3 linked regions of the Arabidopsis thaliana genome follow. The protein of the gene in region 1 interacts with the protein of each later gene in a pairwise test. Each region holds a gene or a part of one and is shown on either strand. Other genes may lie near its edges. The genes, in order: AT3G44590, AT1G55880 and emb2004.

Region 1 (9,043 bases):
TTTTTTTTAATCTTTGTATACCCAGATACATATGAATCCAATTAAGGTCATGAAGTACAATCCTGTTTCGGACACAATGATCTCTGGTGACACAAAAGGAATCATTGAGTACTGGAGTGCAACTACATTACAGTTTCCCGAGGATGAGTATGTCCTTGTCTCACTTCTTATCAAAAACGCTTTTATTATTCCATTTCGGTATTGCTGTTTGTTTTCTATAAATTGGAGCGTGTAGGATAAGAGAAGCATACCTGTTTTTCTGCGTGTGGCTAATGTAGTTAAATATCATATTACTGAGAATGATGCAAAGAGGAGCCTGTAGTAGAAATACTTTAGTTGCCAACTTCTTAGTTGACCATCTTTAGAATTTCAGTATAGTTGATGGGCTGCTTTCATTAATGGTTCACAGGTTGACCTTTTACTTGTTGTTGTAGGGTAAACTTTAAACTGAAGAGTGATACAAATCTCTTTGAGATTATAAAGTGCAAAACAACAATCTCTGCCATTGAGGTACTTATTTGGCATTTAGTATCCTTGGTTTTTCTTTACATCCTTAGAATGCAGCTATTAGCAATTGATATGTCTGGTGAAAATCATAATGCAAATTTGGTCTCTAAGTTTAGTGAAATTCTTTTCAGGTGAGTCCAGATGGTAAACAGTTTTCCATTACAGCTCCTGATCGTAGGATTCGTGTGTTCTGGTTTAGAACTGGTAAACTGAGGCGGGTATATGATGAGTCACTTGTGGTAAGGTTACATACTCTATGCTTCTTTCCTTACATGTTTTCACGTTAATCTGTCATGGTTAATGATCCATTCCACTATTAGGTGGCCCAAGATCTGCAGAGGAGTGATGCTCCCTTATACAGGCTTGAAGCTATTGACTTTGGTAGAAGAATGGCAGTTGAAAAGGAACTTGAAAAAACCGAGAGTGCTCCGCAGCCCAATGCTGTGTTTGATGAAAGCTCTAATTTCCTTATATACGCCACTTTTCTTGGAATAAAAGTAAGGAATCCACTTATTGTTTTCGTTTTAAATTACCATAGACTAGCATAACAGTCTAGACATGATAAGTATCCTGTCTCACATGCACATGATACAATTAACGAGCTTAAAGACCTGGGATTTTCACCTTTACTTAGGTGATGACCAAGATATAATGTGGTTACTTCTTTGTACCATATATGAAAGTGGTTATACTTTCTGCCAATATAGTGAATTTAGAATAAAAGAAGCTTGAGATTTTTTTTGTAAATTTGGGTGTCTAAGGGGTAGTGGGAGGAGCTCCATTATCACTAACCCTCAATATCTATGTATTTTCAGCAGATCATTATGTAAAAGCGGACCAGTTTTTATGATTTGATTGTATCAGAACTCTTCCATGCGTAGTAAATGGAATCATGACAAGCAACTGCTAATTTCTCTGTCTACCTTTTTGTTCTCTAGGTAATAAATTTACACACCAACACAGTTGCAAGGATCCTTGGAAAGGTGGAGAGTAATGAAAGGTATCTGAGAGTTGCATTATATCAAGGTGATCAAGGAGGCAAGAAAGTTAGAAAGATTCCTGCAGCTGCAGCAAATGTAAATGAAAGCAAGGAGCCTTTGACTGATCCGACTATCCTATGCTGTGCCTTTAAGAAACACAGGATCTATATGTTCAGGTACGTGACTCATATTGTGCTAGAATGACTCATCTTTATGTTGTGGGAGAAAGAATTATTTTTTCGCACCTTTAGATTCTACTTTGTAGAAAGACCTCATATGTTTTCTCTAGATATCCCGAGAACTACTTTGAATTTATTATCAACAAATTGGTTTCTGCAGTCGGAGAGAGCCAGAAGAACCTGAAGATGCAAGCCAAGGGAGAGATGTGTTTAACGAGAAGCCTGCTGCTGATGAACTTATGTCTGTCTCAGATATTGGAAACTCAGCCACAACATCCCTTCCAGAGAACGTGGTATGTTTTCATAACCCACAATGTTGGTATCTATTTTACTTTTCATTACGTACTGTAATTTGGATCCTTAACACAATAACTCTTTTTAACTCCTAATCATCCAGATAATGCATACTACGCTTGGTGACATTCACATGAAGCTTTACCCAGAAGAATGTCCCAAAACTGTGGAGAATTTCACAACACACTGTAGAAATGGCTATTACGATAACCACCTTTTCCATCGGGTTATCAGAGGATTTATGATACAGACTGGAGATCCTCTTGGGGATGGTACTGGAGGACAGTCAATTTGGGGCAGAGAATTTGAGGACGAGTTTCACAAAAGGTAAACATTTCTTACAGGCTGCTTTGAGTTTAGCCATCCGTTTAGAAACAAATGAAATCTAACTTAGTTTGATACGTTGTTCTTTTACTTGGCCTGCAGTCTAAGGCATGACAGGCCGTTCACATTGTCTATGGCAAATGCCGGCCCAAACACAAATGGGTCTCAGTTCTTCATCACAACAGTGGCTACACCGTGGCTAGACAATAAGCACACTGTTTTTGGAAGAGTTGTGAAGGGAATGGACGTCGTTCAGGTATGATTTGAAAACCAAAAAGAATATTTTTACTTGTTGGCTTAGTGTGACTTAGTGCCTAACCATAAAACCAAATGAACAGGGTATAGAGAAAGTGAAGACAGACAAGAACGACAGGCCTTACCAAGATGTGAAGATACTTAATGTCACCGTTCCGAAATCTTAGCATCTTTGCTACTGTCTCAAAGATAGTGAACAATCTATGCTGATCCGTAACCCCGTGATTGGTTCTATGCTGGGAAGTTGTTCTTGCGGAGATGGATCGAACTGTGGGATATGTTTGTTGTACCCGAGCAGATCAGGTTAAGTTGGTGGCATCATCTTCTTGACACTAAACATTATTTTATGTTTTTGTCAAACAAATTTTATGAGAATGCTTAGTGAACAAAAAGACTTCAACTTCTAATGTTACTTCAATTCCTCTTATTTTCTTGAAATAGAGTTGATCTACTTTCTTCTAATTTATCCAAGCTTCATGGGTTTATGTCTGAAACGACAACACGACAACACCAATGTTTGAAGTTAATAACATAGAATCTCAATTTCACTTGGATTTGGATTTTTCTGTTTATTTGGGATCACTAAAGATAAACTTTTCCATGAGTGTATCAAATTCTAGCCCTCTTAGGCACTTATTTTGTGATATGCTAACATACTATGAACTAAACTATGTAAATTACAAGCTTAGACCAGATTCAACATGTAAATCAAACGGAAAACGATAAATGAATAACCCGCAAGGTCGCAACATAGTTGAAAAAACTCTTCTTGCTTCATTATCTAAGGAGTAAAATTCGTAATCCAAGAAGCAAAAACCAGAACCACTAAGAGAACAAAAAATCAAATCTCGACTCCTTTCCGTGGGGACAAAAACCTTACTCGAAGAGACTGAATCCCATGTCCTGCATCAAAGGTGAAGGATATAACAAAGAGTCAGATAAAGACCAATATCAAGACCATAACAAAGACTAAGTAATAAGGAAACAAAATGATAAAGAGAGAAATGCTTTACATCATCAGACTCTTCTTTCTCTTCCTTCTTGGCTTCTTTCTTCTCCGCAGGGGCAGCAGCACCACCACCACCGCTTGATGGAGCAGCTGAAACAGCCACACCACCACCAGATGGCACAGACGCTAACTTCTCCCTACCAGAAGCAATCAGCTCAGCAATGTCTTTACCACTCACTTCTTTCAATAGAAGCTCAATGCTCTCTCCATCAACATCAGCACCAACTACATAACAAAACATAACAAACAAAGTCCTTTAATGAATCATATACAGTGAACAAAACTATCTTCTGTTCTTATACTCTTCAACAATCAAACTAAAACTCTTATAGCTAAAACAAAGCAAATACAGAATCTTCCCAAATCATCATTGCTACTACTTCGCCGATCACAGTAACACAATCCAATAAAATCAAAACACATTCATAAACAAATTCAAAAGCACAGAAATTTACCAGCTCCGATGATATCTTTGATATTATCAGCAGAAGGATTAGCGTTTCCGCCCAAAACGGCGAGGAGGAAAGCAGCGGCAACCTTCATTTTTCTGCTTTTAATACAAAACCAAAACCAAATCAAATTACTCAGAAATAGAATTAAACACAAGGGAATCGATTGAGAGACATTGGAAGAAGAGTTACCAAGAAGATTTGAGGAGCAGGAAGCTACAAGCTTTTGGTTGTTCGGAGAAAGTGAAAACGAAAATGAAGGAAGAAGATGATGAGTTAATTATATATAGTTAGGGTTTTCTTCGGTTTCCGGTTAGCTACGGTTCCGGTGTTACCTTCAATTGTTTTTTTTTTTTGTGGGGTTCAATTATGAACATTTAGGTTTTTGAATATTTTAGGTTTTTCGATATTCCGATTAATCATTTGATTAACAGTTCTGTTTGGTTCGGTTCCCTTTTGATTTTGGTTAGTTTGAATAGGGGTTTTATTAACCATTCGATTATTTTAGAAACTTTGGTTTAGATACGGTTTGGTTTAGTATATTATTATGTATTTTTAGAAACTTCGGTTCGGCTACGGTTCTGCTTAGCCACACATCTAAACTGTTCATTACTCGATCACTTATAACTTTTTTAGAAACCGATCTAATCGATCACTAGAGTTTTCTCCATAAGCGAAAAACTGATTTATGGTTATTTATTGATGCTAATAACACGATATCTGTTATACTGGTAAGGAATATATTTTTGAAATTTAAATATATACAATCAAGTAATTTCTTAATTTTTGATGTCCAACAACCCATCAATTGGCCAATTTTCGCTCTTTATGTACGCTTTCCTCAAAGACAAATGCTAATCCAAATATATCTCATGCATTCACATTCAAGCAATCAATCATTTAATCAAAACCATAAACTATACGTTTATACCCTACGCAATCATTCACATTCTACCAAATCATCAAGTAATCACAAATTGATAAACCTTATGAACCTTAAGCTTAACTACTCTGAAATTAAACGCTAAACTATATGATATGTTGCGTTTTTGGTGTCTTAGGTCTCTTAGTTTTGAGTAGTTTGTCGTGTCGTAGTCTGTCTTTTGCGTCTTTTCGGTTGTGTCTTGAGTCATTTGCAGGTTTTAGGTGTTTAAGCGGAACACAAATGTTTTCGGGACTTATCGGGCTCATTTGGACAAGAAACGATAGCAGGAATCGAGAAACCGGGGTCAGAAACATTGGATCGATCGATCCCACCACTAGATCGATCGATCCAAAACTCATCGTCGAAGACAAATCATCCGCCAGCTCGGGATCAATCGATCCTAGGTGGAGATCGATCTATCCACCACTCATCCACCGAAGTAAAATGTCCGCCAGCTCGGGATCGATCGATCCAACACTCTCGATAACCAGACCGAATTTCCTTAACCGGGTTTATATGTCTTTTTCTGTATTTGGGTATAAAAAACCCCAGGAACTTAATTTATCTTTTTACGCTTCTTTTTCAGTAACATTTCTAAAAACTTTTCTGTAAGCACTTTTGGGGATTAGAGATTCATCCTTCTTGACAATTTGGAGAAGATTTCTAAACTCTGTTCTTAATTATTCTATTTGAATCATGTTTTCTTTCATATCTCTTTGCTTGATTTCTATTGCAATGTCTGAGTAACAATTGGGTTTTAGGGTTCTAAGTAGGAAGTCAATGAATTAGTAACTAAGCTGTCGTAGGGAATTCTCAATCTTTAGGTTCTTCAATTTATGTGTTCTTAATGCTAGAATAGGATTGATCACCTTGTTTTAGAACTTAGGTTTTTCTATGCATTAAAAGTGTTCGATAGAATGCCTAAACGAATATAAATTGAGCATTGTATTTCTAGCCATCGAAAGTTGACGTTAGAACGCATTGTGAACTAAATAAACCAACTCATTAATGCCAATTAGGAGACTACAAACGAAAGTTTAGTAGTTGAGTAGTCAAATTTAGTGGCTAGTATCTCGAGAGAGAGTTAGTTTAGAATTATGTTTATGTTTCAGAACGATTCTTCATAATTGAATTCTCTATTTTGTTTATTATGCTAATCTTTGTCTTTTGAAATACCCTAACGCCCAATGTCTTTAATCCATAATTTTAATCGTTTATTTTCTTGCATTTTAATTTATAATTCAAAAACCAAACAAACAACGTTTTTGCTTTAGCTAAGAACGAGTCTCGGAAATCCTTAGAGTATCTTTGGTCCTTGTGGATCGACCTCGCATATACTACCTTGCGGTTAAGTTTATCGAGCAATTACTCGAGCAATCAAGTTGGCGCCGTTGCCGGGGATCGATCGATACCAATGCGTCAACATCATCTGCTAGAACATCATCGATCCAGTCGTTCCTTCGAGCTTCAACATCATCAGCCAGAACGGGATCGATCGATCCCACCAGTAGATCGATCTCAATTAATCCAAACCGATTGGATTTCTGCTAACCGGAATTGAACCAAACTCCACTTAAATTGAACCGGAACGACGAACAGTTTATCACCGGATCAAGTTTTCCTTCGCCATTCAAGAGCTCCACTTCAACTTCTTCGTTTTTTGTTCATCAAGAACACCAAAATCACTAAACCCTAACTCTCTCAATTCTTAGTCGTTTTTGTCAAATTTGGTGCCTATTTCAATCAGACTTTTCCTCTTTCCATATCTACTGTTTGTTTTCTGGATCTGCAAAGGTATGTGCTCGACATTCCCTTTTTTTGTTCTGTTTTCAAAAGTGATAAATCTCCAATTCCTTGAATTTTCATGATGTTTATGGGTTATCTGATGCTAGCTTATTGTCTACGATGGTTTTGGAAACCTTTTTAAGCCTTTAATTGCTGGATTAAGGCCTAATTTGAGATCTGAAAATTTCCCCTTTGGTAAAAAACGGACATGTTCATACACTTTGAGAAAAACGGATTTTAGAGCTTAGAACTTGATTATTCATGATGCATTGTTTAGTTTTAATAACTAAAATACAATGTTTAAGTTCTTTGATTTATTTTTGAGTGATTTCTTGACTTCACTTTGTCTCTTTTGCAAAAGGTATGGGAAAGACAAACAACGCTGCAAGAACTTCTCGAGCACGCACGAGCACTTCCGGAGCATCGGCAAAAGAAGATCCTAACAAGCGTCCTGTTATCGGCATATGGGATAAGGAAGACACAAAGCTACTGGCAGCTTTGAAGCATATTGATGTGAGGCCAACGCGAGTCGCTTCCAAACCTTCTCTACATGTGCTTGGCATGTACGATTATGTCGTGATGGTGTTTCAAACACTCAGTATAGGACGGTATTGGGAAATGGATGAGGATGTATATCCTAAACTTGTGAAGGAGTTCATTGCCACGTGTCGCCTCACGTACGCGAATCCAGAGAACCGAAAGCGAGTCAAGGAAAACTCACATTCTTTCTTAACAAACAGCATTACAGCAAGACATTGTTTGAGATCTGCGACATGTATAGATTTACGAAAGGAGAAGCGGTTGAGTTCCCGAAGTTGTCTCCTGCGGTTGCTGATGACTTTTGGAACACGATAGCTACAGAAACATATAAGTCGCGCACATCGAAGATAACATATATTAGGAGTCCTATTGTGCGATATGTTTTTGAAGCTCCTCGGTAGCGTTCTGTACTTCAAACCGGTGATCACAGCTGTGCCTGAGACCGAGTTACCACTACTTTTCTATGGGGTCAAACATCGACTAGGCGTCTACTCGATCTTCCAACTCCCAACACTAATGTAGCTGCGGTTTTGTGTGACACATTGGTGAAGATTAAGAATAATGTTCCTACATCAGCCGTGCAGAGCATTTTAGCTTGTACTGCACTTCTCCATTGTTCCTCGGCTGCAATCTAGACCTCTCTAGGGCTGAGTCATCCATTAAACGAGAGCGAATGGACTTGACATACCTGATTCATACTAGTTTCACCAAGCCAGGAAGTTGACTGTACCAATTTCTGGGCAGGGAAGGTAACACTTATTTCTGCACGATACCCAACCAGAATATTACTTCACTTCTCTCCGCGACGAACCTAGTGTTTGAACCTAACGAGCAGTACTTTGTTCCTAACCCTTCTGAGACCGTGTTAGATTAGTAGACAAGTGACAGTCTAACACTAGGTAACAAGGTACTGCTCGTTAGGTTTGAACACTAGGTTCGTCGCGGAGAGGAGTGAATAATATGCTGGTTGGATATCCTGCAGAAATAAGTGTTACCGTCCCTTCCTAGAAATTGGTACAGTCGACTTCTTGGCTTGGTGAAACTGGTATGAATCAGGTAGATCAAGTCCATTCGCTCTCGTTTAATGGATGACAAAGCCCTAGAGAGGTCTAGATTGCAGCCAAGGAACAATGGAGTAATTGCGATACCAGCTAAAATGCTTTTCGCGGCTGATGTAGGAACATTATTCTTCATCTTCACCAATGTGTCACACAAAACCGCAGCTACATTAGTGTCGGGAGCTGGAATATCGGAGTAGGCGTCTAGTAGATGTTTGACCCCATAGAAAAGCAGTGGTAACTCGATCTCTTGCACAACAGTGATCACCGGTTTGAAGTATAGAACGCTACCGAGAAGCTTCGCAACATATCGCACAACAGGACTCCTGATATGTGTTATCTTCGCTGTGCGCGACTTATATATTCATGTAGCTATCGTGTTCTAAAAGTCATCAGCAACTACAAGAGACAACTTCGGGAACTCAACCGCTTCTCCTTTCGTAAATCCATACATGTCGCAGATCTCAAACAATGTCTTGCTGTAATGCTGTTTGTTGAGAAAGAATGTGAGTTTTCCTTTACTCGCTTTCGGGTTCTCTGGATTCGCGTACGTGAGGCGACATGTGGCAATGAACTCCTTCACAAGTTTAGGATATACATCCTCATCCATTTCCCAATACCGTCCCATACCAAGTGTTTGAAACACCGTTACAACATCATCGTACAGGCTAAGCACATGTAGAGAAGGTCTGGAAGCGACTCGTGTTGGCCGCACATCAATATGCTTCAAAGCTGCCA
Region 2 (10,521 bases), on another chromosome or scaffold:
ATCTTTCCCTCTTTCCTTCCACCGAGAGCAAAACCTAAAAATGGTCGTTTGATTCTCTCTCTCTCTCTCCGTTCAAAAATGCGCCGGCACAAGCGATGGCCTTTGAGGTCTCTTGTCTGCAGCTTCAGCTCCTCTGCGGCGGAGACAGTTACTACTTCAACGGCAGCTTCAGCGACGGCGGCTTTTCCGTTGAAGCATGTGACAAGGTCGAACTTCGAGACGACGCTGAATGATCTACGCTCACTCGTAAAGGCTGCAGATTTCGTGGCGATTGACCTTGAGATGACTGGCGTGACAAGCGCTCCGTGGCGAGACTCCTTAGAGTTCGACCGCTACGACGTCAGATACCTCAAAGTCAAAGACTCCGCCGAGAAATTCGCCGTCGTTCAGTTTGGTGTCTGTCCCTTTCGTTGGGATTCTCGTACTCAGTCATTCGTGTCCTACCCGTTAGTCTCTCTTTCTCTTTCTCTTTAGCTTCAATTGTGTAGCTTTGACTAAACGGGTCTCGTTTTGGGGGCAGGCACAATTTCTTTGTATTTCCTCGTCAAGAACTCACATTTGATCCACCAGCTCATGAATTTCTCTGTCAGACTACATCAATGGATTTTCTTGCCAAGTATCAGTTTGATTTCAACACCTGCATACATGAAGGTGCTTCCTTTCTCCTTTTCATTTTTGATTCTAAAGAGAGAAAAAGTGTAGCAATTTCAAGTTTGTTTCCAGAATGTGAGGAATTCACATATATTTAAATAATCCCAGGAATATCTTATTTGTCCAGACGAGAAGAGGAAGAGGCAAGTAAGCGTTTGAAAATGCTACACGGCGAGGACGGAATTGATTCATCGGGTGAAACTGAAGAGTTAAAGTTGGTGCGATTGGCAGATGTTCTTTTCGCTGCAAGGATGGAGAAATTGCTGAATGAATGGCGGTCTGGCCTGTTACATGGTGGGAATGCGTCCTCTGAGTTTCCGAGGATTTCAAATGGTTCAAACCAGAGTATGGAAACTGTGTTTCACCATATGCGTCCTGCTCTCAGTCTGAAGGGTTTCACTTCTCATCAGCTCAGAGTTCTTAACTCGGTAATGCTCTCTGTTTTACATCTTTTCTTCAGGCTATTTGTTTTTAATCAGTTGGTTTTGGATTTGGCTTTGTAGGTTTTAAGAAAGCATTTTGGAGATCTTGTGTACATACATTCAAATGATAAAAGTTCTTCTTCACGAGACATTGTTGTGTATACTGATTCAGATTCCGACAAGGAAAACCTCATGGTAAGGTAGCATTTACGTTGCTGGAAAGATTTGTTACTAAACATTACATGTCCTTTGGATTTTAACTGAGAGTGTTGAAGTGAATTATTTGATGATAGCAAAGTTCAGGCTCGAGAGATGATGTAGCTATAGTGTAGTAACTGATTCTTCTACTTAAAGGCCTTCTTTGATTTAGATACCATTACTGTCTCTTTTCACAGAAGGAGGCAAAGGACGAACGCAAGAGATTGGCAGAAAGAAAAATACAATCTGCAATCGGGTTCCGTCAAGTGATTGATCTGCTTGCTTCAGAGAAAAAGCTGATCGTTGGTCACAATTGTTTCCTCGGTAAACTAGCAAGTTGCTTCTCTATACGTTTGTGAAGGTTTTGTAACTTAAAGATGCCTAACTCTAACATCTTGTTCATCTGATACAGATATTGCACATGTATACAGCAAATTTGTGGGTCCTCTTCCTTCAACAGCTGAGAAATTCGTGGCCTCCATTAACAGTCACTTTCCTTATATTGTTGACACCAAAATACTCTTAAACGTGAATCCAATGTTGCATCAGCGGATGAAAAAGTCCAGTACATCACTGTCTTCCGCGTTTTCCTCGTTATGTCCGCAAATCGAGTTTTCTTCAAGAAGCTCTGACTCGTTTCTTCAGCAGCGTGTCAATATTGACGTTGAAATAGACAACGTTAGGTTTGTTCCTCCCTATTTTTGGCATGACACTTGACTGTTTTCTGATTTAAACTGCTTTTAACGGCTGTTTTCTCTATTTCAGGTGTTCTAACTGGAATGCAGGAGGAAAACACGAAGCCGGTTATGATGCTTTCATGACAGGTTGCATCTTTGCGCAGGCATGCAATCATCTCGGTTTTGACTTCAAACAGCATTCGCAGTTAGATGACTTTGCCCAGAACGAGAAACTTGAAAAGTACATCAACCGTCTTTATCTCAGCTGGACAAGAGGTGATATCATCGACCTTCGAACAGGCCATAGTAATGCAGATAACTGGCGAGTCTCAAAGTTCAAATACGAGAACATTGTCCTCATCTGGAACTTCCCACGAAAACTTAAGGCGAGAGGGATCAAAGAATGCATATGCAAAGCCTTTGGCTCTGCTTCTGTCACCTCTGTCTACCACGTGGACGACTCTGCGGTTTTTGTCCTGTTTAAGAACTCAGAACTTGTCTGGGACTTCTTAGCACTCAAGCGGCAGCTGGAGTCAAGCGACGGTCCAGTCTCAGTTCTTCACCCTTTATCCAAGATCCTTGAAGGAGGAAACACTGGAGCTGCAGACTACGAAGCATACAAAGAGATTTGCAGCTCACACGTCTCAGAGGTCATGTTCTCTGACCAAGCTGAAACAGTTGGTGTCAAATCAAGAACAAGACCCAACGCACAATGCGAGACTGAGACAAGAGAGGAGAACACAGTCACTGTGACTCACAAAGCATCGGATTTGATTGATGCGTTTTTGGCCAATAGAGTTGAAGTCGAAACTGCTACGAGTAATTAACTATGCCATCTAACATTTTTTTTGTCAACGTGAAACGCAATAATATAATACAAGATAATATGTTTTGCGATGACCAAAATTTTGATAATGAAACATATGAAATAATGTGCGGATAAAACATCTAGAACTATCAGTACTAATAAAGTCAAACAATTGATCTGTTGGAGATGTCAATCTCAATCAAGTTATCTTCTGCTTCAAGTTCTTCCCAAATCTCCATGATCATCATCTCCTCGTAATAATCTTCTCTACTCAGCCAACGTTTCTTCACACTCTCCAACTTTGCTTCTCTCACCAGACAGATCTCTATCAAACCCTCTTCTTCTTCATGTAGGTTGGTTTCCGTTTCCAGACTTTTAAGCTCCTCCTGATCATGACGATAAGATTTGGATTCCTTGTTACACACGGCAATCGTGTGGAGAACGTTAGAGAGAAACAAGATTGGGATCATGCATAGATTCTTCAAGAAAGAAAGTGATAAGATCAATAGTGTCTTATTGACTCCATTTCTTGCCATTATTGGGATCATGAGACCTTACACAACCGACTTATTTATGGAAAAACATGGAAATCTATGTTTATCAACACTTTTGAGTTTTCCAGTCTAATGCATTGAACATAGACAAAATCTAATAGGTACAAAGACAAAATCTGAATACATGTTTCCCATAATCTTGTAAGGGGCCCCATTAGGTCGGGACTTGTAAACAATTGAGAAGACAGGTGTAAGATGCAGTTATGGGAGTTTTAGAGGTCAGACACATGCATTGTTGCATTGACATTCTTCCGTTGACTCTAGACATAGTTGTTGTCTTCTAATCTGAAGTCTTACCAAGAATATATCACCCTTAGTCTAAAACATAATCAAAACAAAACCACTGCAGACCACCCAGGCTTGATTGATCTGAAGATATTGTAACAGATTTGTAGTTTCACTTTATGCCGAGGAACTCTAATCCGATAGCGGTTGGACTTAACCCGTATAAATTCAAGTACTTAGGGTCGTGAAACTTGCTTAGATGTCTCATTCCGCTATCACAAAGAATGGTGACAATTGTGTGACCAGGACCAAGGGTCTGAGCCACCCTTACTGCCCCAACACAGTTCATAGCCGAGGAGCTTCCAACAAAGAGCCCATCATTCTTCAGAAGAAACCTGGGAACATAATATAGTGAGAAAGATATCAAGATCCAACTTTTACGAAATCTTTATCAGTACTCTCTAAAACAGTTATGTCAAAACATATAAAGGAATGAGCACTACCTCGACATCTCAACCGCTTCTTTATCAGTCCCACGAAAACCACCGTCAAGTTTTGCCATCAGGAAGTTTTTAGTAAGCCTGTTGATTCCGATCCCTTCTGTTATTGTATCAAATGGGTTCTTTAGCCGACGCCCTTCAGCTTCTTCTCTTGTGTACATCACTCCCCGTGTTACTTTATTGTACAGACCAGATCCAGGAGGATCAATCAGAAAACATTTAACTCTTTCATTCTTATCCTGTATAAATGCACCAACAAGTTATGAGTTTTTCTTTTGCTTATAACATCCACGAATTACTCATTCTTACATCTTTGATTAGTATAAGCCCTGAGTAATTATACCTGAAGAAACCTTGAAACACCAGCTAAAGTCCCGCCTGTACCCGCAGCAGCAACAAAGGCGTCAATATTACCCTGAGTCTGGTGCCAGATTTCAGGGCCAGTACCTTCATAATGAGCCCTATAATTTGCCAAGTTTTCAAATTGATCTGCAAAGAAGCCACCGGTAACTGAATCTGAGAATAAGGAAGGCTCTTTCACTTCCTCAACCGTGCAACCATTAGTTTTCTCCTGGTGTATGCCATTTGTTTCGCTCCCTAGTCTTCTCTTTGATGCTAACTCGTTTGCTTCGTCAGCCCGTCGCCTCGCAATGTTGACATAGTGATCCTTGTGAGTTATTGACACTGGCCTCACTCTCTCAACAGAAGCTCCAAGGGCTTCAATTATTTGAGACTAAAATAAGTCCAACACGATACAAATTTGAGTGTATGTACAATAATGCATACAAGGGAATTTGAATCATCATCAAGGTATTTAAAAGATATAACCTTTTCAATAGCAGCATCATCAGGTATAACAACATGACATTTACACCCATAAGCCGGAGCAACTGTAGCAAGGCTAATGGCAGTACTTCCTGCACTACCCTCAGTTACAATTCCTCCAGGGAATAGCTTACCAGATTCCAAAGCCTAAACAGAGAAACAAAAAAAACATAATGGACTTGCTTCTCGATTTCAAAAACCACTAATATAAATAGCCAAGCTGATGATTCAATCACTGACATTGTTAAGAGAGGTTTATGATGATCAAAAAACTTTTAAAAGTTGAAACCTTTACAATGCTAATCATAGTGTACCTCTTGAATGATCTTGACAGCAACTCTATCTTTAACACTACCTCCTGGATTCAAAAACTCGCATTTCCCAAGAATCTGATCACCAGACGAAACAAGTAGAATGAAAATTACATCTTTAACTCATAAATCACACTATCAGTTCGTCAGACCAAACAGAAAATAGCAAAAGAACATCGAGAAAAACCTCACATCCAGTAGCCTCAGAGAGACTATTGATACGAATCAGAGGAGTATTGCCAATGGCATCAACAAGCCCGTTTCTCATAGTCAACTTCTCCTTCCTCTTCTTCTTCTCGGAGAGACGGAAAAAGAAGCTGTAAGAAGTAAGCATCAACAACGCCGCTGCTGCAACAACAGCGCCAGTCATATTAACAGGCGCCATTGAAGCTCAAGCTCGCCTTCTCCCGTAATCAAACCGGTGAAGTAAAATTAGGTCGTCGGCAAAACAACACTATTTCTATTATTTGTTATTCTAGCCCCCAATATTTCCTTTAGTTAAAAATAAGGCACTAACATTTTTTAAATTATCAGATGCGTCCTTCATTTGATTTGTTCTTAAACTCGTCTCCTGAAGGCTGAAACCCTTTGCTCTCACTCCCAAAACGATGTCGTCTCTATCTCGCGTTCTCCGTGGCACCTTCAACACTTGCCCGATCCGCCGTTTTTCCTCCGCCGCCACCGTAGTCTCCGAACCCACCGCAGTCACTGCCGCAATCTCGCCTCCTCAAAAGTCACTAACCAGTCTCGTGAATGGCGAACGAAACCCCAAACGGATCGTGGAGAAATTCAAGAAGGCATGTGAGTCGGAGCGGTTCCGGACCAACATAGCCGTGTACGATAGAACCGTGCGCCGTCTCGTAGCCGCAAAGAGATTACACTATGTCGAAGAGATTTTGGAGGAGCAGAAGAAGTACCGCGACATGTCAAAAGAGGGATTCGCGGCGAGGATCATTTCTCTGTATGGAAAAGCCGGCATGTTTGAAAATGCACAGAAGGTGTTCGAAGAAATGCCAAACAGAGACTGCAAGAGGTCAGTGTTGTCCTTCAATGCCTTGCTTAGTGCATATAGACTTTCCAAGAAATTCGATGTGGTTGAAGAACTTTTCAATGAGTTACCTGGAAAGTTATCAATCAAACCAGATATTGTATCTTACAATACTTTGATTAAGGCATTGTGTGAGAAGGATTCTTTACCTGAAGCTGTTGCATTGCTTGATGAGATTGAGAACAAGGGACTAAAACCTGATATAGTTACATTCAACACACTTTTACTGTCTTCGTATCTAAAGGGACAGTTTGAGCTAGGGGAAGAGATATGGGCTAAAATGGTGGAGAAGAATGTAGCAATAGACATCAGGACTTACAATGCTAGGCTGCTTGGATTAGCCAATGAGGCGAAATCGAAAGAGCTAGTAAATCTCTTTGGAGAACTTAAGGCTAGTGGGCTCAAACCTGATGTTTTCAGTTTCAATGCTATGATTAGAGGATCTATCAACGAAGGAAAAATGGACGAAGCTGAAGCGTGGTACAAAGAAATTGTGAAGCATGGTTATCGTCCTGATAAAGCTACCTTTGCTTTATTGCTTCCTGCTATGTGTAAAGCAGGTGACTTTGAGTCTGCGATTGAGCTCTTCAAGGAGACATTCAGTAAGCGGTATCTTGTCGGTCAAACAACGTTGCAGCAGTTAGTTGATGAATTGGTGAAAGGGTCTAAGAGAGAAGAAGCTGAGGAGATTGTGAAGATTGCAAAGACCAATGATTTCTTAAAGTTGAAGCTAAATTTGCCGTCCCAGGAAGAGTAAGTCATTTGCTACTCTCTCACTAAGTGTCTCGTTGAATTGTGTCTGAGCAGCTTAAGCTATATGTATTTGCTGGTGTTGCTTTGTGGCTTTTCTACTTCTCTAAACTTTCCTCTGTGGAAGTAAGACTTGTTTCTTTCTATGTAGTTTCGCTTATTTCACTGGTGCAAAAAACAGCATGTAGTCGAGGTTTAGGCAGAAGAAACCCTACAAATTTAATAAATTTTGGTTATTTGTTTTCTCTTTTTGACACGAATGAATTTATTATTTTTGTTGGAAAAATATTTTCATTTTATTTGGTAAATAAATAGTGTAAAATAACTTCATTAATTAGTTATTAAAAGCCCGAAATGCAAAAATAAAATAAAATAGATTCTCTTCTTGGTAAACAAGTAAAAAAAACAGCAAAAAAAATAGAAAAATATCGGAGTAGAAATAAACCGACTACCAAACAGTGGATAAGAGAGTTAAAACGAGCCCATAAAACCTGTTTCCAAACAGTCCATCTGTTAATTTTCCTTTTCTCCGATCAATTCCAAAACCCTACTTCAACCCTGCGATTCATTCATCATTCACAGAGTTTGAAGAAAACGCCGAAATCGGAAATGGCGTCTATTGTTCTTCGATCTCGCCTGTTGCCAAGATTAGCAAAGCTCAGATCTCGTAATCTGAGATGTTTCTCTGCGGAAGCATCTTCGACGAATTCTACATCTAGGTATTCGGGAGTCACCTCTACCCAGTCGATGTTTTCTGATTTTCCACCGCCAAATCAGCCGCCACCTCCTCCTCCTCCTCAAGTGGAAGCTGCTGCCGCGGCTGCGACGGGAAAGGAGAGGAAAGGTCTTAAGTATCTTGGTTACGCACTCCTCTGGGCACTCACTGGTGCTACCGCTGCTACTGGTTACGCAAGTTTTGGTATGTACTTGCATTCATGAATTATCTTTTTTCCCTCTCGTAGATTTCTAGTACAAAGTTGTTTTTGCTGTGAAATGCGAGTAAAAATGTGTTATGGTTTGCTTAATCGTGGCATTGCATTACATTTTCACATATCAGTCTTTTGAATTCAGTGTTCTTCACTTGGTAGAACTGTGTCTTTCTTCGTTATGTTGACTCTTTTTAGTTCTGATTATACTTGTTTGTTTCGTTATGCAGCTTACACGATAGATGAAGTGAATGAAAAGACTAAGGCGTTCCGAGAATCAGCTACGAAGACACCAGTTATTAAATCTTCTGGCATTGATGTGATTGATGTGAGTAAGCTTGGTAGCCTTGAGTCGCTGTCAAATTAATGTTGATCATAACTTGCTTCTGTATTAGTTGACTTTCTTTAGTCTCTGGCTTTCAAATGCGTGCTGCCATGTTTCTCTGCTTCAAGGTATTGTTTATAAGCTTCTCTGAATTAATACCCTTTATACTCATCTTTCTGCAGAAATATCAGACTAAGTTGTACTCTGCTGCAATGACAGGTATAGTTCTTGCGCCTCTGTCATCATAACTAATAGTATGTCTTTAATTAAGCATAGCATGAGTTGGTTTGCTTGAATTTTGATCAGGTTCTGCTAGAGCCATTGATAAGTATTTAGAGCTTAGGGAAATTGTGGAGGAACAAGTGAAAGTACGTCCTTTCACCGAGACACAACTTTTCTTTTTCTTGCATCTTCTTTTTTCTTCTAGAATTCTTATTTTTTGTCTGGTTCCTTATAGGGCTTCACGGAACCTCTCTCGGAAAAGCTTCTTCCGGATCTGCACCCCGCAGAACAGCATGTCTTCACTCTAGTTCTTGATTTAAATGAGACACTGCTTTACACTGACTGGAAGGTAACATTTCATTTATTTACTGATCATCAAAATACTTGCATCATAGATGTGAATATGTGACTCAGAGTATCTATGTTATGAAACAAAGCAGTTCTGGTGAACTACTTTGTTTTCTTAAGTAGTGCTGTATTTAACTTTTCCTGCCTTTTCATTTACAAAAATGTCTAGCGGGAAAGAGGGTGGAGGACATTCAAAAGACCAGGTGTCGATGCATTCTTGGAGCATCTTGGGAAATTCTATGAGATTGTCGTGTATTCTGACCAGATGGAGATGGTAAAGTCCCAATTGGTTTTTCTTTTTTCTCCTTTTTTGCTTGTAATATCATAGTAATGCGACTACTAACGCTTGTTTCATTACTTGTAGTATGTACTCCCGGTCTGTGAGAAATTAGACCCAAATGGCTACATACGTTATAAGCTAGCAAGAGGCGCTACTAAATATGAAAATGGAAAGCACTATAGGGTACGTAAGCAGCTAGCTTATCTTGTCAAAGCATACTTTCTGACTTGCCCGAGTAACTGTTTCTCAACTAACTATTAAAATTCCTGCTGCAGGATCTGTCAAAGCTGAACAGAGATCCGAAGAAGATTCTGTTTGTTAGCGCAAATGCCTTTGAATCAACCCTTCAGCCAGAAAATAGCGTGCCAATCAAGCCTTACAAACTAGAAGCTGATGACACAGCCCTAGTTGACCTGATACCCTTCCTTGAATGTAAGTATTGGTGAACTGAGGGATAAGTTCTGTTCCAGTCCGTGAACTGCCTGTATCAATTTTGTTTGGTTGATCTTCCTGTTTGGGTTATGCAGATGTTGCACGTAACAGTCCAGCAGACATCAGACCGGTTCTGGCCTCTTTTGAGAGAAAAGATATTGCCAAAGAGTTCATTGACAGGTCCATAGAGTATCAAAAGTGAGTCGATCAGAGCTTTTTTTTTACCCTATCGTATCAATGCAAAATCTGTTGGTAGTGTCCCACTAAGAGTGTCATATCTCTATGCAGGCGAAAGCAAGGACAACTGGGACAAGGTCGATTCTGGAGGCGTTAAAGGATCTAAGATTTATGTATAGAGCGAGAGACAATTATATCATCATTGATGGTGCACACCATAAAATAGGAACATGAGCTACCGTTCTTCGCTATGGATTTATTAGGTAAAATCCGAATTAAAATACTGTCTTTGTCATCAAAGAGTTTTTATGTTACCCAATTTTCCTCGTCTTTCTCTCTGCTTTACATAGAAAATTTCTATGAGAACGAAAAAGAAATTATCATATGGAAGGTTCATTTTTCGTTGACTAACAAATACCGTTTTTTTTCTCTGATTTATTTTTACTTGGTTTGACAAATGATTTATGATTATGAACTTTGAGAAATTATTGGTTGAAACGTCAATTTGTATGTATTGCTAAAAAAAAGAGTAAATTACCTTTTCTAGTACGCTTAATATTTATCTGTCTGTTTCAATGCGTGTCTTAAGGTGCAATATCAGGTTTACAATTAGGTAAATCAATTACAGATTTTTCTTGTTAATCTGAACCAAATAATTGTACTTTTTCCTAAATTTGAATTCATAAAGAGGGTCCAAGTCTAACAACCACTTACAAAGCTCCTTCACCCGTAATCCTTTTCAATGTGTCGTAATCAACCAACCAAAAACCATAAATTTATTGTAGTACAAAACAAAACTCCATGACTTTAAAGTACGACTCTTAAACACCACTTATATATTA
Region 3 (12,186 bases), on another chromosome or scaffold:
TGGCTTTTCGATGTGGGACATTTGACACTCTTATTTCCACACTTAATCCAACTATCTTATGACACGTGTAATTAATTATTTAGTAAAGGAATTGTATTTTAAAAAAAAATTGAGATCCCAAGTTTCCTCAGTACCATAGGTTTTCTTAGTTTACCTTAAAGATATGCAATGGTTTCTAATACAAGTACATTGCATTGCATTATATGTAACATCTAAATCAGTTGTCCATGGATATGCAATTACAAAAAGGAACCGATTACTTACATACAGAACCTATTCAAAAAGAAAAAAAAAAAATTTAGTACCAAAGGCTGTGTGCCTGTGATGCCTTAGAGATTCCTCTCGTGTGGCTCGAGCCAAGGAAATCCTAAGAAATCAAAAACTTGTTTCTCCGTTGAGAGTTTCAGACTTGCAGTTCCTCTAGCACCCTGAGAGACAAACATTATCACAGCTTCAACATAATCATTCTTTCACTTTAAAACCCAAGAATTCACATCAAGTTAATTCACTTTTCTCCCTTACTTACCCGGTTACCACTAGAACTGTGAGTAGCTGGGAATAGTCCAGTGTCGTCAAGTCGATATCCTTTCGATTCTGCTAGCAATCTCAGCCTGCAGTTATCATCGCATATATATATACATATGCTGTGTTCTTTATCTACCAACAAATGTGTTTAGTGAGACATGTATACAAATGAAATCATATCCATACCTTCTGTTCAACACGTCGTTCCCTGTCCAGGCTATGAGTCCAAACGAATAGATATCCCTTGGATAGACCTATGAAAAAAGACTATTTATTGAATGATCTTCCGGGAAGAGATCAACCTAGACATAGCTGAATCAATCATGGTATTGTCCTTTTTATCTTTGACTAACCCACTTAGTTCTTTTCTGCATTGTGTGACATTAGGAGTTTTCAGGTGTTACCTTAAAATCGATACGGCGCCGTAGCTCCTGACCAGGATAAGTGCACAAACCAAAATACGTGTCAACGCCTGAATCAGTACCCTGCACAATAAGGGAAATCATTGAGGAGCTGTGATTGAACAAGAATTTTTGTTACACATGCAACTCTGAGAGAACAAAGCTTTATCTAATGCTAAAAGAGATCATTTTATAAGATACTGAAACAACTGAAGTAATGTGTTTTCAATGAAGATGAGATCCTCTCTTAAATAATTTTATCAGATCATCTTACCTCTTCACTGTGGGTGCTGAAGATGAGATCCTCCCTTAAAAAGTTCATTTCTTTTAAACGCTTTACAAACTTTGTCAAAAATCCCTTGTGACTGGTCAGGACAATAAGAAAAAACAGTTTAAGTAAACTTTGTTACAGGAAACTAACGCAGGAAGATGAGGAAAGAAGATTGTAGGTACCTTTGTCCATCAGGATGGGTGACAACGATATCCAGATCTCCACAAGTAGCTTTCCCACGTCTATATGATCCTCCACATACAATATTCACCTGCAGTAAAGATGTTGGTTAGGATTTCACTAAACTTTTATCACCCAAATATGGAGCAGACCGATAAACTGAATAGTTCATACGCCAGGCAAAGTTTCCTCGCCGACTCTCTGTAAAAGTTGTTCCATCTCTTGCACCTACAATACAGAAAGTGAAGAAATATGAGGAGAAAATTACAAGAAGGATAATAAAGACAAACAAAATTCACGTTGAAGTTTAAGAATCGCACCTCCTGACGTGGAATTCGTGTTTTGATATCATCAAAATATTTCAACCCCAACTTCTGTGCATGCGTTAGTGAATCCTCATTCTTCAAGTCTTCTAGTGTGCGATGTCCTTTCTCATATAGCTTGAGTGCAGTTGCAGGACCGACACCCCAAACTTCCCCGAACAAACTGATTGTACGAACCTTCAACCATAGTAATGAAACATTTATAGTGGTAAACAAAACATATCAGACATCTCTAGCTCCAGTTCGGTCATTGACAGTATTTTTCTTTAAAGAGAAAAAGGAACAAGAGAAAAGCAAATGGCCTCTACATGTGAGCTTGTATCTAATTGAAAATGGGAGATAGCAAAATAACTATAACCAAGGACTTCAAAATTACCTTCTCATCTGTTTCAAAATGTTCAAGCTTGGACAACTTCCCTGTTGTCACAATCTCTTGAATCTGCCAAATTCAGGTAGAAGAATAAGACTTTGTTCTCACAGAAATACATCAAAACAAAGGTTATAGGTATGCACTAGGAAAAGGGTAAGTGTTTGCAGTTTTGACACCCACACACAGAACCTAGACAAAACATTTGAAGCATTTCTCAACTTACATGATCTCTCATTGCCTTTCCGATTCCAGGGAGGTGTTTGAGCTGATCAACGCTTTCAATCCTAGTGGGGAACTTTTCAATGACGGGGATAGCTTTGTAATAGCTAAAGGACCGTCTATCTTCACCCAAAGCTTTTGAAAAAAAAGAAAGAGTATTGTTACTTACTTACTATAAGCGAGTAGTCTAGAATACAAACACCAGAGATTGTACCTCTATATATGTTAATTAACTTTCCAAATATCTCAGTGATATTTCTGTTCAAATCGGGTGGTTTGTACACCGATGTGGACTACAAATCAAAAGAAGATCAATGAGAACTTCCAATATCAACAACATTATTTCTTTCTGAAAATGCAGATATAGAAAACAGGTTTTTGTTTAGTTAACTTCTAAGAACCAAAAGGATGCATCAGCAAAGGAGTCACTCAGGCTTACCTCTGATTGTGGACTAGTGGGAGTCTCTGCGATGCCTTCTCCAGGACTGGCGCTAGTAGAGGGAACACTGCAACTTGTTGGTGAATCCGGTGATCCTTGTGTATTGCTATGACTTTCAACGCCTTTGAAGTCACCAGCATCAGGAGAATATCTGGTTCTTTTTTGAGGTGAAGATTGATCCTCGCTACCACTTATTGCAGGCAAAGACTTTTTCGGCTTATCAACTTCTTCTGAGTCAATTTTGAGAACATACAAATCTTCATTAGCCTTCTCTCCTGAAGTTAGGCTATCTTCTAACCACTGGTAAAGCATAAGGCGCTGCAAGGAACAACCAATGTATATAAACTTGTAACACTGGATAATCTCTATTCGTAGATAAAACTTGTACCCAATTAATCTAATCGTAGAGAAAACTCATGAACAACACAACAGATAGTTATAAAAGATTGTTTTTTCTATATGACGAAATCCATTTTTTAGTAAAAACTGAAAAGAACGAAAAACCAACTTACTGCTGTAAAATGCGAGAGACGTTCTTTCCCAAATTTGTGGAGAAGAGCTTCGAGATTCATGGCAAGAACATGAGTGACTTTCTTCGTTACCCGATCTTCTTCGATCACTGCACCCATTTGAACCAGCTTCTGCTTCCAGATCTTCATTCAAATAGAGAGAAAATTACAGACATAGCATGCAACAATTAAAAAGAAGATGTTAAGGAAATTTGTCGAAGATGATGCAAGTAAAATAACACTGAACAAAATTTTCAGAGTAAAACCTGCAATCGACGACGCTGGACTCCGATTTCAACCATGAAAACTACCATTCCGGCGAACATCCCTTCCGGGTCCGGAGACGGCGACCGGTTTCTCCCTCGCTTTGCCGCCATTTTTCTCGCTTTACTCGTAACTCACTCGAGTTTTGTCCACCAAACTAGTATATGTCTTTCAAAGCAGGAATACCCCAATTAGGCAATTACGCTCGTTTCAACGAACCGAATCGGAACCAAACCGAAATAACCTGTTCTAAACCGAATGAATTTTTTCCTCATTCAACGACCAACTTTGACTTAAAATGCCTCTCTTTTGTTAGTCAACACCATTTTTCATGAAAACTTCCTTGAATTAAAATTAAATCTCACCGTAAGGAACAACAAATGTTTTATCTCTCGCTTGAATCATTTCAACGTCATAAATAATGAAACAACAACTAATGGTGCAAAATTACAGAGTGACAAAGTCTTCTTCACTTCAATGTCTCTCCTAGAAGAAAATTTCTACTTCCTTTTCAGTCATCTCAAGAACATGATCTCTAGCATCCGTGAGCGCACTCTGGATAACACAAAAGGGAAATTTCTCAGCAATGTCGAGCGAAAGATTTGATTATCTCCATTGCACCATATGTTTCTTACCTGTCCAAACTTGGTGATGAAGTTGTTCCCAAGGTTTATCGATGTAACTGTGACATCTTCATTGGCCTTCAATGCTTGAGCAATGGCGAATGCTCCATCATCCTACAAATGAGGCAAAATAATAAGATTGACCTGCTTACAAGTCTTAAAAGAAGACACAGTATTGATAAACGAAGTAGCGCTTTTTTTTTACCCGTATTTCATTGAATCCTAGATCCACAGATGTCAGAGCTTCATTAACTACTTTCAAGCTTCGAGCTAAGCAGGAAGCTCCCTGCAAATAACGTACCACATACATTATGAAAACATATAGTTCGTAGCTATATTAGAAGTACAAATCTGATACTCATAAAATCTGTCTGCAGGAACCTCATCTCTAAGTCCATTTGCCCGCAAGTCCAAAACCGAGATTGTATTGTTATATCTCAACATGTCTGCAACATGTTCAGCACCCTTGGCAGCTATCTGCAGGAATAAGAAATGAAAGGAACCATGACAAAACGAAATAAGTAACTGTGAAGAAATACTTTTGTTCCTAGATAAAGAGTTATGGACAGGCTTTACCTGACACCAACCAAGTTTGAGCGTCTTTACATTTCCATGGAACTTGAGAATTTCAGATAATGCTTTAGCTCCGTCTGGTCCTATGGGATTATAACCAACCTCTAACTGAGGAAATATTGAGAGTGGTAGTGTCATTATCATACTAGTTATACGTAAACAAGGAATCAAAGATGAGAAGGGTTTTTGGCACTGACCGTCGTAATAATTGCATTATCTTTCAGAGCTTGAGCTATAGCATTAACTCCCTCCGCGTGGATGTTATTTCCACCCTATTTTACCAAAAACGTGTTAGCAGAACAAATAGCTCGATATGGACGCAAGGAAAACTTAGGGAGGCTGGAGAAGATGGTCACTTCTCACCAGGTCAATGGTTGCAATTGAACGGTTTTGCTTCAGAGAATCTGCAATCTTTTCAGCTCCCTGAAACCATTGAAAATCTTTAAGATAGACAACAGAGCAAAAAGAGACAAGGTTTTCCGATATTAGAGAAGCACAGACACAATCCAGATTATTGTTATAAATTGGATATATATGTACCTCATCACCTATATCATTCATGTACAGGTTCAGCCAAACCAAGCTCTTGCTTCTCTTGATGTATTCAGCTACATAGAAGGCACCCTTTGCGGAAATGGAGTTGTTGCCGAGATCTAGCAAAGCCACTTTCCCTGCACACGAAAATGCATCTCGGTATAACTACTGAATTCTACAGTAGAGGTACGGAAGAGTTAATATAGACGTATGACAAGTGTTCTATTGGAAAACCTTTGTGGGAAGATAGACCAGCCATCAAAGCACGAGTCCCTTCGTCTCCAATAGAGTTTCCATGCAAATGAAGTTCCTGCAGGTGGAAAGGCCAAGGGAATAAATCAACTGTTGATGACCTTTATTCATTGGTTGTCTCTGATGACATCAGAAATCACCTTTAATGCATCATATAAGATAACAGATCTAACTATGAAATGTCTCTTTTAATATAGAAATGGCACACGATATACATCGAAAGAGACATGAGGAAAGTTTGTACCCGTAAAGACTTGTTACCCTCAAGCCCTTTAGCTAAAGCATTGGCACCCAAAGCACCACCGTAATTTCCACTGAAACAGATTATCCATAAATCGGTATGTCAGGGATATGAACTATACAGACAAAATAAAAAAAGCACGCCCAAAAGATATATCCATCTATAGTCCTAAACTCACTTGAGATGTAAATTGCGTATTGTATTATTCTCAAGAAGAGCTCCAGCAAGACTTGTGAATCCCTACCTCCATTTCAAAAAAAGAAGGGAAGAAGACGCAACAGATTTAATTCATAAACTTGGTATGTCAATCTGAAATATAACTGTACAACACATGAACAGAAAAAACTTACAGAATAGTCAATCATGTTATTATTCAGCTCAATAATCCTCAAGGTCGAATTTCTCTTCAACAATTCTGCGATTTCCTTTGCACCCTGCGCAAGAACATTGGAACTACTTAACGTATGAAAACAATTTGAAGGATTGTGACTAACTTAGGAGCTTGAAAAGCATGTAAATCAAAGCATCTGCTCAAACAAACCTCATCTCCTATATCAGTACTGTTCAGCTGAAGTATCTCAATGCTAGAATTTTCCATCAGTGTAGCGCATAAAGTCTGCCATAACCAGAAAAAATGAAGCGAAACCATTCTCAGCCAGAAACGTATACATAGAGAATAAGTTCCATGTGATTTTAGAGCTAAAGATATAAGCAGAAATCGATATGATCTCTTCTCTTGATGGAACTGAGGAATTTCTACCATTGGACACCCGGAAGTTAAATTTAAAACTAGTATATCATATTTCCACTAACCTTAGCTCCTTCATCACCGATAGGGTTTCCAGAAAGATTAAGAATTTTTAACATAATATTTGATTGAAGAACACCATCAAAGGCTTTAACTCCTGCAGCTGTAATTCCATTTGCAGAAAAACTGACTTCCTCTACAGTCTGAAACACAAACATGGGTATGGTTAGTCAATCAACATAAGAATATCAGGACTCTAATGAGTTGGTAGATAGCAGATGTGAAAGAAGGAGAGAACTATAACCTGATTATACCCAAGGCTTTCAGCAAGAAAGAATAATCCTTCATCTCCAAAGTTGCATCCTGCAAGATAAAATATACAGGTGAGCTATATTTGCGTATATTAAGACAAAAGGAAGATGGCACTACAGATCACATTTAATTCTAATGTAAATCAGTAATAAGTAATGTCATAACAGTTAAAATCATTCAATGCACCTGACATGTCAACACTTCTGAAGGACCTAAGTTCTTTTGCAAATTCATTAAGCCTCTGCTTGGCCTCTCTATCAACCTTAGCAGCAAATCCTTGTAACAAATTAGTACCGGCCCCGATCGACCATTTCACTCCCTGTGTAGAAGAGTTGTTTTCTCCAGCAGAAGTCTTTGGAGACTTAGGCGACATGAACTTCCCAACCACTTTCCACAAAACTGTCAGCTGAAAACACAAATTAGTATAGAAGATTTGAGAGAAAAGACGAAACTTTTATCATTACTATTCTCGTATAGATAGCAATCACCGAATTACATGACAAGCAAACTAATTTCCGCTCTATTACTTCCACATGAAAGAAGAAAACACAGTAATACTAGTCCAAGTTTTGAGAAGTGACGGATAAACAAAACTAGCTCTCCTAGCAATGCTCGTACCGAAAGTGACGACAGCAAATGATCCCAAGGGCAAGACGGAAGACGCAATCTGCTGCACTTTAGCATTAGGAAAACCACTAGCCGCTTGTGACTCCTTATAAACCCTACTACGCTTCGAGCCTCCATCTGAGTTATACGCCGCTTTGATCGCCGGAAGTCTCGGACTTCGGTGATGAATCACCACAGGAGAAACAAACAATCGGTTCCTAGAAACGGAGCTACCCAACAATTCGTACCGGAACCCACTCTTCCATTGGCCCAACCCAGAAGAAGCCTTCAAAATTCACAGAGAAAGAAACCGAATTTAGAAGCTACAAGAATTGGGAAAAAAAAACAAAGGATGAACAGTAGAATTACCTTGGGGAGAGAGTGGAGATTGAGGGAGCTGGTGGAAGAAGAAGCCATTAAGGAGCTGCTTAATTACGCATAGACGCTTGAAACTCTCGCTGTGTGAAAACCAACCACTGAAGAATTAGGAAAGTGTAAGAGACTAAAAGAGACGAATTGGAGTAGAAGAGAAGAGACGATGATGAAGATGAAGTTTGTTTCCTTCGCGCTATGTGTGTGTGTATTCCTTTAGGTACGGGTGTGACCCGACTATCCACCGGGTCGAAATCGGGTTTAAATTTATGACCCGATAGATTCGAAAGAGAACGACTTTATTAGGGTTCATAACAAAAATAATCAATCACCTACCTGAAAACAAATAACATGTGGACTTAAAAAATTGTTATGCAAAAAGATTTGTTTTTTTCATTGGTCTTCTTCTACTACACGCATTTGAATCAGCAGAGAGATTAATTCCTCAGCTCGGCGATTCAATTCTCAGAAGATTATGGCTTTCGCTACTGGAATCACGACGTCTTCAAATCCAACTTTTCTTGGTCTAAAGATCTCCAACACAAGTCTACGTTCTGTGGTTTCATGTAATTCGATTTCGTTTCCTTCTTTGTCATATGTGAATCTCAACCTCAATCGGAGAAACCGCCTTTCTGTTCGATCCGCTTCGGTTCCAGGTTCGAATTGATTCACAAAATTGCTCTGCTTTATTTTCCTATGAGAGTCCTTTTTATTTTTTCTGGGTTGTTTTTGTTGTTATTGCCATTCTGGTTTTAAAATTAGAAACTTTCTATTGAAATTGATAACTTTCGTTGGTGATGTCTGAGAATTCTTAAAAAGATGGTAATAGCTGTTACTTAGATATGTGTAGTGAGGTTCTGCTCTTGAATTCAAAAAGTGTAGTGACTTGTGCTCTTGAATATCTCAGCTGCACCTGCAATGGAGGGACTGAAGCCGGCGATATCTCTGTCAGAAAATGCACTTAAGCATCTGAGTAAGATGAGATCAGAACGTGGGGAAGATTTGTGCTTGAGAATTGGAGTCAAACAAGGAGGATGCTCGGGTATGTCCTACACGATGGACTTTGAAAACAGAGCAAATGCAAGACCAGATGATTCCACTATCGAATACCAGGGATTCACTATAGGTAAAAACTATTCCATCACTATGTAGGATCAACTCTTCTAATCTGAGATAATAAGGTCTGAGAGTAAGATCAGCTAGTTTCTTGATGATGTAGACTTGCCATACTTACAATATGAATGTCAGTTTCTGTGTTCAAGTATGCATCCAAATAAAAAAAAGGCTGAGATTGTTCGATCAAATAGGCTAAAGTTTTATTGTCAAGTAGATGGTCAGTTGATTCTTTTTGATGTGCAGCTTGAATTATATACTACTTAGCTGCCGATTCTTGAACTGAGACTTCTAGTCTCTTGTTGTCTTTTGCAGTCTCTTGTTGTCTTCTGCAGTAAAGTATTTTTACATCTGTGAATTGAAGGCTCAGGTTTTTAATTTGTACTCACTTCTTTTGCAGTTTGTGATCCAAAGAGCATGCTCTTTCTTTTTGGAATGCAGCTTGATTACAGCGATGCTTTGATTGGTGGAGGCTTCTCTTTCTCGAACCCTAACGCTACACAAACCTGTGGATGTGGGAAGTCTTTTGCTGCCGAGATGTGAACCAGTTTCACACATTGCAGTAGATAAACAATATAGTTATAGTTAATAGAAAACTTTGTATTATGGTTGTAGAATGCTCAAACAGAATCTGTAAGTTTTTTTAAAAAAATTGTATGATCAAACCATAATTTTAATAAATTATTCAACCTGGTTACAAAAATTCGTAAAAAGACCAAAGATCAAAATTTTCTGGTCACTGTTACAAAAAAACAATTGTTGACATCAACCTCCATCTCAGGCTCTTCTCTTTTTGTTGGATGTGGAGGAATGCTTATCATTGCCTCTCTTTTTGGCTGATTTATCAAAACCACTTGGCTTCTCTTTCTTGTTATCAGTTTTGGTGGACTCTATACTGATAAGACCACTTGAAGAGATCTTCGACTTTTGCAAAGCCTCAGCTTCTTTGTCCCCAATAGCAAATTGGTCAAGTAGCTCAGGGTCCAACAATTCTTCTATCCTTGCCCTCATTTGTTCCTTTAAACCCAAGCATTGAGAGTGTGAGTGGTGTTTCGATTTTACATGGAAACCAAAACAAAATATACGCATGCACGGAAACAGAAGCGATTACCTCAACTTCTTTTGCTCCCTCCCTGAGATCTTCGTCTACTGATACTTTGTGAGGTTCAAGCACTCTCTGCAACCAAAAGCAACCATGAATCATTTCAGTCAGCTCGATATTCGTGTATGTATTTAGGGCTTAGGGTTGTTAATTTTCAAAAATGAGGGAATATTATGACTGAGCAAAAGAACATGGAAATGTTATGTAAGTTTTCCCATCTGAACTTACATCTTTCAACCGAGGTAAGGTGGATTCGAGCTCTTTTGTTGCGATTCCATTCAAATATTTGTATAACTTCTTTCCAACCTTCAATAGAAGAGAGTATATTTGGCCCCTCTCCAACTGCATTTGTCTCTGTAAGTCAACGTCATGATCCAATTTAGAACAACCAGATGTGTCAAGAAATTTATCTCCACATGTGTGGTGAAACATAATTCAGCTGGTCCAGATCATCGATTTATTTTAAAGAGTAGATATGTTATACCTCGATGCTCGAGAAATCTGACTCCTGCAAGCCCAAACACAGGAGTACAGAAGCTTGAACATACGACAGCGAGACTGGGAGCTTCTCTTGAAAATAATGATGAGCTAGAGTTTTGCAGATGTCATAAACCTTTGAAAAGATAACAAAGTAAAAATAGTTACCAAACCAAACGAAAAGACAGAGTATCAAGCTTGAACATGCGGTTAGTATTATTTGTCTGAGTCTGTACCAGAATCTTATGATTGTGTAGTTATTTAAGCAGATTACATATCTGACTATAGTACATATTTCCCTAAAATAAGTGACTCTCAGAGAGTGAATCTAACCAGATTGAAGTCAACGAGATTGGCAGTGTATGCTCTGAATCTCTCCATATCATAAGGTGAAAGAACTCCGTCGAGTTTCTTCAAAAATCCATCTGGTGAATTTCCAGTCAAATCAACCTCTGGGAAGTTGATCTTAGGGTTCAAAACACTAACAAAATTGTGAAACGAGTATATTATCAACACAATAATACCGCACCAAGAAAAGTCTAATCATCTTAAAATAGTATTGCAGAAAAAGTCTAAATTTGCATGGGGAGAGAATATGATTAGTGCTAACCTCATTGCAAGTTTATAATCCATCTTCTTGAATTTATCACTCAACAGTTTAGAGAACCTTATCCTGAAATCTGAACAGAGTAGAAGAATTTGCCAAAACATTAAAACAAAACCTGTCATCCTTAAAAGCTACAGAAACATTTGATTCCTGTTAAGAATTTACAAACCTTTATAGAAGGGAGCAAAGAAGCCCAGTTCATCCGACTCATCAACTTCGAATTCATCGTTGCTTAAGGTTAATGGTTTCAGAAGCATACATGTGTGCTCACCAGTCACAGCACTCTGATCCAACCATATTTTAGAAATTGTGTTATGAACTGCTAGACAACACTAGAATTAGTAATTCAGGAGAAGAGGGAAAGAGGGATTCTCAACTGGTATTTGACTGATGTAGAATGGAGCAAATTTATGTTTTCTCCAGAAACGGAAGAGGTCCAAAGTAAGCCCAAAAGAGACACCGATGTAGTGGAGTCTCTCAGGTCGTCGATCACGAAGAGGAACCAGCAAAGGTGGAAGATTGGCACGAGGCTTTATCTGTTCCTCAAGCAAAGAAACCTAAGGGAAAAAATTCAAGTAAGAACTAGAATGCATGATGCAAAACCCTACAAGGGTAGATTAAAATAATCAAGAACCTTTGCAGCAGCCTCGGTAACTCTGACTGGTGAAGGCTCCACTTCCAGTTCATCATCACCTTCTGATATTGAAGCTAGCTGACCCTCAAAGTATCTGCACGTATCAATCAATTAAAATATTTGCATGTATTAATCATCTAAGTCGTAATCATTGCATTTACCTGGTCAAGAGTTCAACCGCAGCAGACCCATATCCCATCTACATAGAATGTAATCAAGAATTTGTTAAATCTCACAAGAAACCTACAAGACTAAAAAAATGAGGCGACTAAGAAACTTTACCTTCATAGCGTTGGGGTGGACTGCTATGCGTACTATACGAGCACCAGAAAGCTTTGGAAAGACCACGTCCCGGAACTGTTCACAGAACTTCCATGGTATTTGATCTCCATGTGGTGAATGACCTTCTCTTAAACTTTTTTCAGCTGATTTCCGAGATATCTGTCCTTCGAGACAGACCTGCATAAATATCAATTTCAAGGATACTTAAG

Evidence for each region.
Region 2: the proteins of AT3G44590 (region 1) and AT1G55880 interact in a two-hybrid assay, tested with the Arabidopsis thaliana proteins (one large-scale study listed by BioGRID).
Region 3: the proteins of AT3G44590 (region 1) and emb2004 interact in a two-hybrid assay, tested with the Arabidopsis thaliana proteins (one large-scale study listed by BioGRID).

What each region holds. Positions count from the first base shown.
Region 1 is NC_003074.8:16,159,031-16,168,073, reverse strand, and holds AT3G44590 (60S acidic ribosomal protein family), read right to left. Parts: upstream 4,366-9,043; 5' UTR 4,190-4,365; intron 4,099-4,189; exon of another isoform or gene 4,096-4,098; 5' UTR 4,092-4,095; coding exon 4,004-4,091; intron 3,774-4,003; coding exon 3,553-3,773; intron 3,443-3,552; coding exon 3,416-3,442; 3' UTR 3,077-3,415; downstream 1-3,076. Other genes in the region: CYP71 (cyclophilin71), read left to right, coding at 26-147, 435-510, 639-746, 828-1,004, 1,446-1,663, 1,827-1,959, 2,064-2,287, 2,387-2,540 and 1 more; AT3G44580 (uncharacterized protein), read left to right, coding at 7,071-7,562; AT3G44570 (retrotransposon ORF-1 protein), read right to left, coding at 8,239-8,321, 8,396-8,631, 8,719-8,933. UniProt on the Arabidopsis thaliana protein: Plays an important role in the elongation step of protein synthesis.
Region 2 is NC_003070.9:20,895,585-20,906,105, forward strand, and holds AT1G55880 (Pyridoxal-5'-phosphate-dependent enzyme family protein), read right to left. Parts: upstream 5,664-10,521; 5' UTR 5,557-5,663; coding exon 5,359-5,556; intron 5,250-5,358; coding exon 5,175-5,249; intron 5,008-5,174; coding exon 4,864-5,007; intron 4,769-4,863; coding exon 4,379-4,768; intron 4,275-4,378; coding exon 4,039-4,274; coding exon of another isoform or gene 4,035-4,038; exon of another isoform or gene 3,931-4,034; coding exon 3,708-3,930; 3' UTR 3,209-3,707; downstream 1-3,208. Other genes in the region: AHG2 (Polynucleotidyl transferase, ribonuclease H-like superfamily protein), read left to right, coding at 79-446, 521-651, 760-1,079, 1,155-1,268, 1,469-1,595, 1,684-1,954, 2,037-2,775; AT1G55890 (Tetratricopeptide repeat (TPR)-like superfamily protein), read left to right, coding at 5,780-6,976; TIM50 (Haloacid dehalogenase-like hydrolase (HAD) superfamily protein), read left to right, coding at 7,579-7,888, 8,126-8,223, 8,403-8,439, 8,527-8,588, 8,678-8,791, 8,960-9,064, 9,155-9,253, 9,346-9,502 and 2 more.
Region 3 is NC_003070.9:3,457,392-3,469,577, reverse strand, and holds emb2004 (RNI-like superfamily protein), read right to left. Parts: upstream 7,944-12,186; 5' UTR 7,808-7,943; coding exon 7,760-7,807; intron 7,677-7,759; coding exon 7,403-7,676; intron 7,184-7,402; coding exon 6,971-7,183; intron 6,836-6,970; coding exon 6,777-6,835; intron 6,676-6,776; coding exon 6,538-6,675; intron 6,341-6,537; coding exon 6,266-6,340; intron 6,159-6,265; coding exon 6,075-6,158; intron 5,965-6,074; coding exon 5,903-5,964; intron 5,798-5,902; coding exon 5,728-5,797; intron 5,542-5,727; coding exon 5,466-5,541; intron 5,369-5,465; coding exon 5,238-5,368; intron 5,121-5,237; coding exon 5,061-5,120; intron 4,970-5,060; coding exon 4,895-4,969; intron 4,806-4,894; coding exon 4,701-4,805; intron 4,602-4,700; coding exon 4,506-4,601; intron 4,411-4,505; coding exon 4,330-4,410; intron 4,239-4,329; coding exon 4,137-4,238; intron 4,057-4,136; coding exon 3,988-4,056; 3' UTR 3,792-3,987; downstream 1-3,791. Other genes in the region: Pol{lambda} (DNA polymerase lambda (POLL)), read right to left, coding at 330-428, 527-611, 712-779, 930-1,010, 1,201-1,291, 1,380-1,468, 1,552-1,605, 1,698-1,877 and 6 more; CPISCA (chloroplast-localized ISCA-like protein), read left to right, coding at 8,238-8,418, 8,670-8,888, 9,276-9,418; AT1G10490 (GNAT acetyltransferase (DUF699)), read right to left, coding at 9,653-9,892, 9,987-10,052, 10,206-10,331, 10,462-10,590, 10,788-10,935, 11,065-11,134, 11,231-11,345, 11,439-11,618 and 3 more.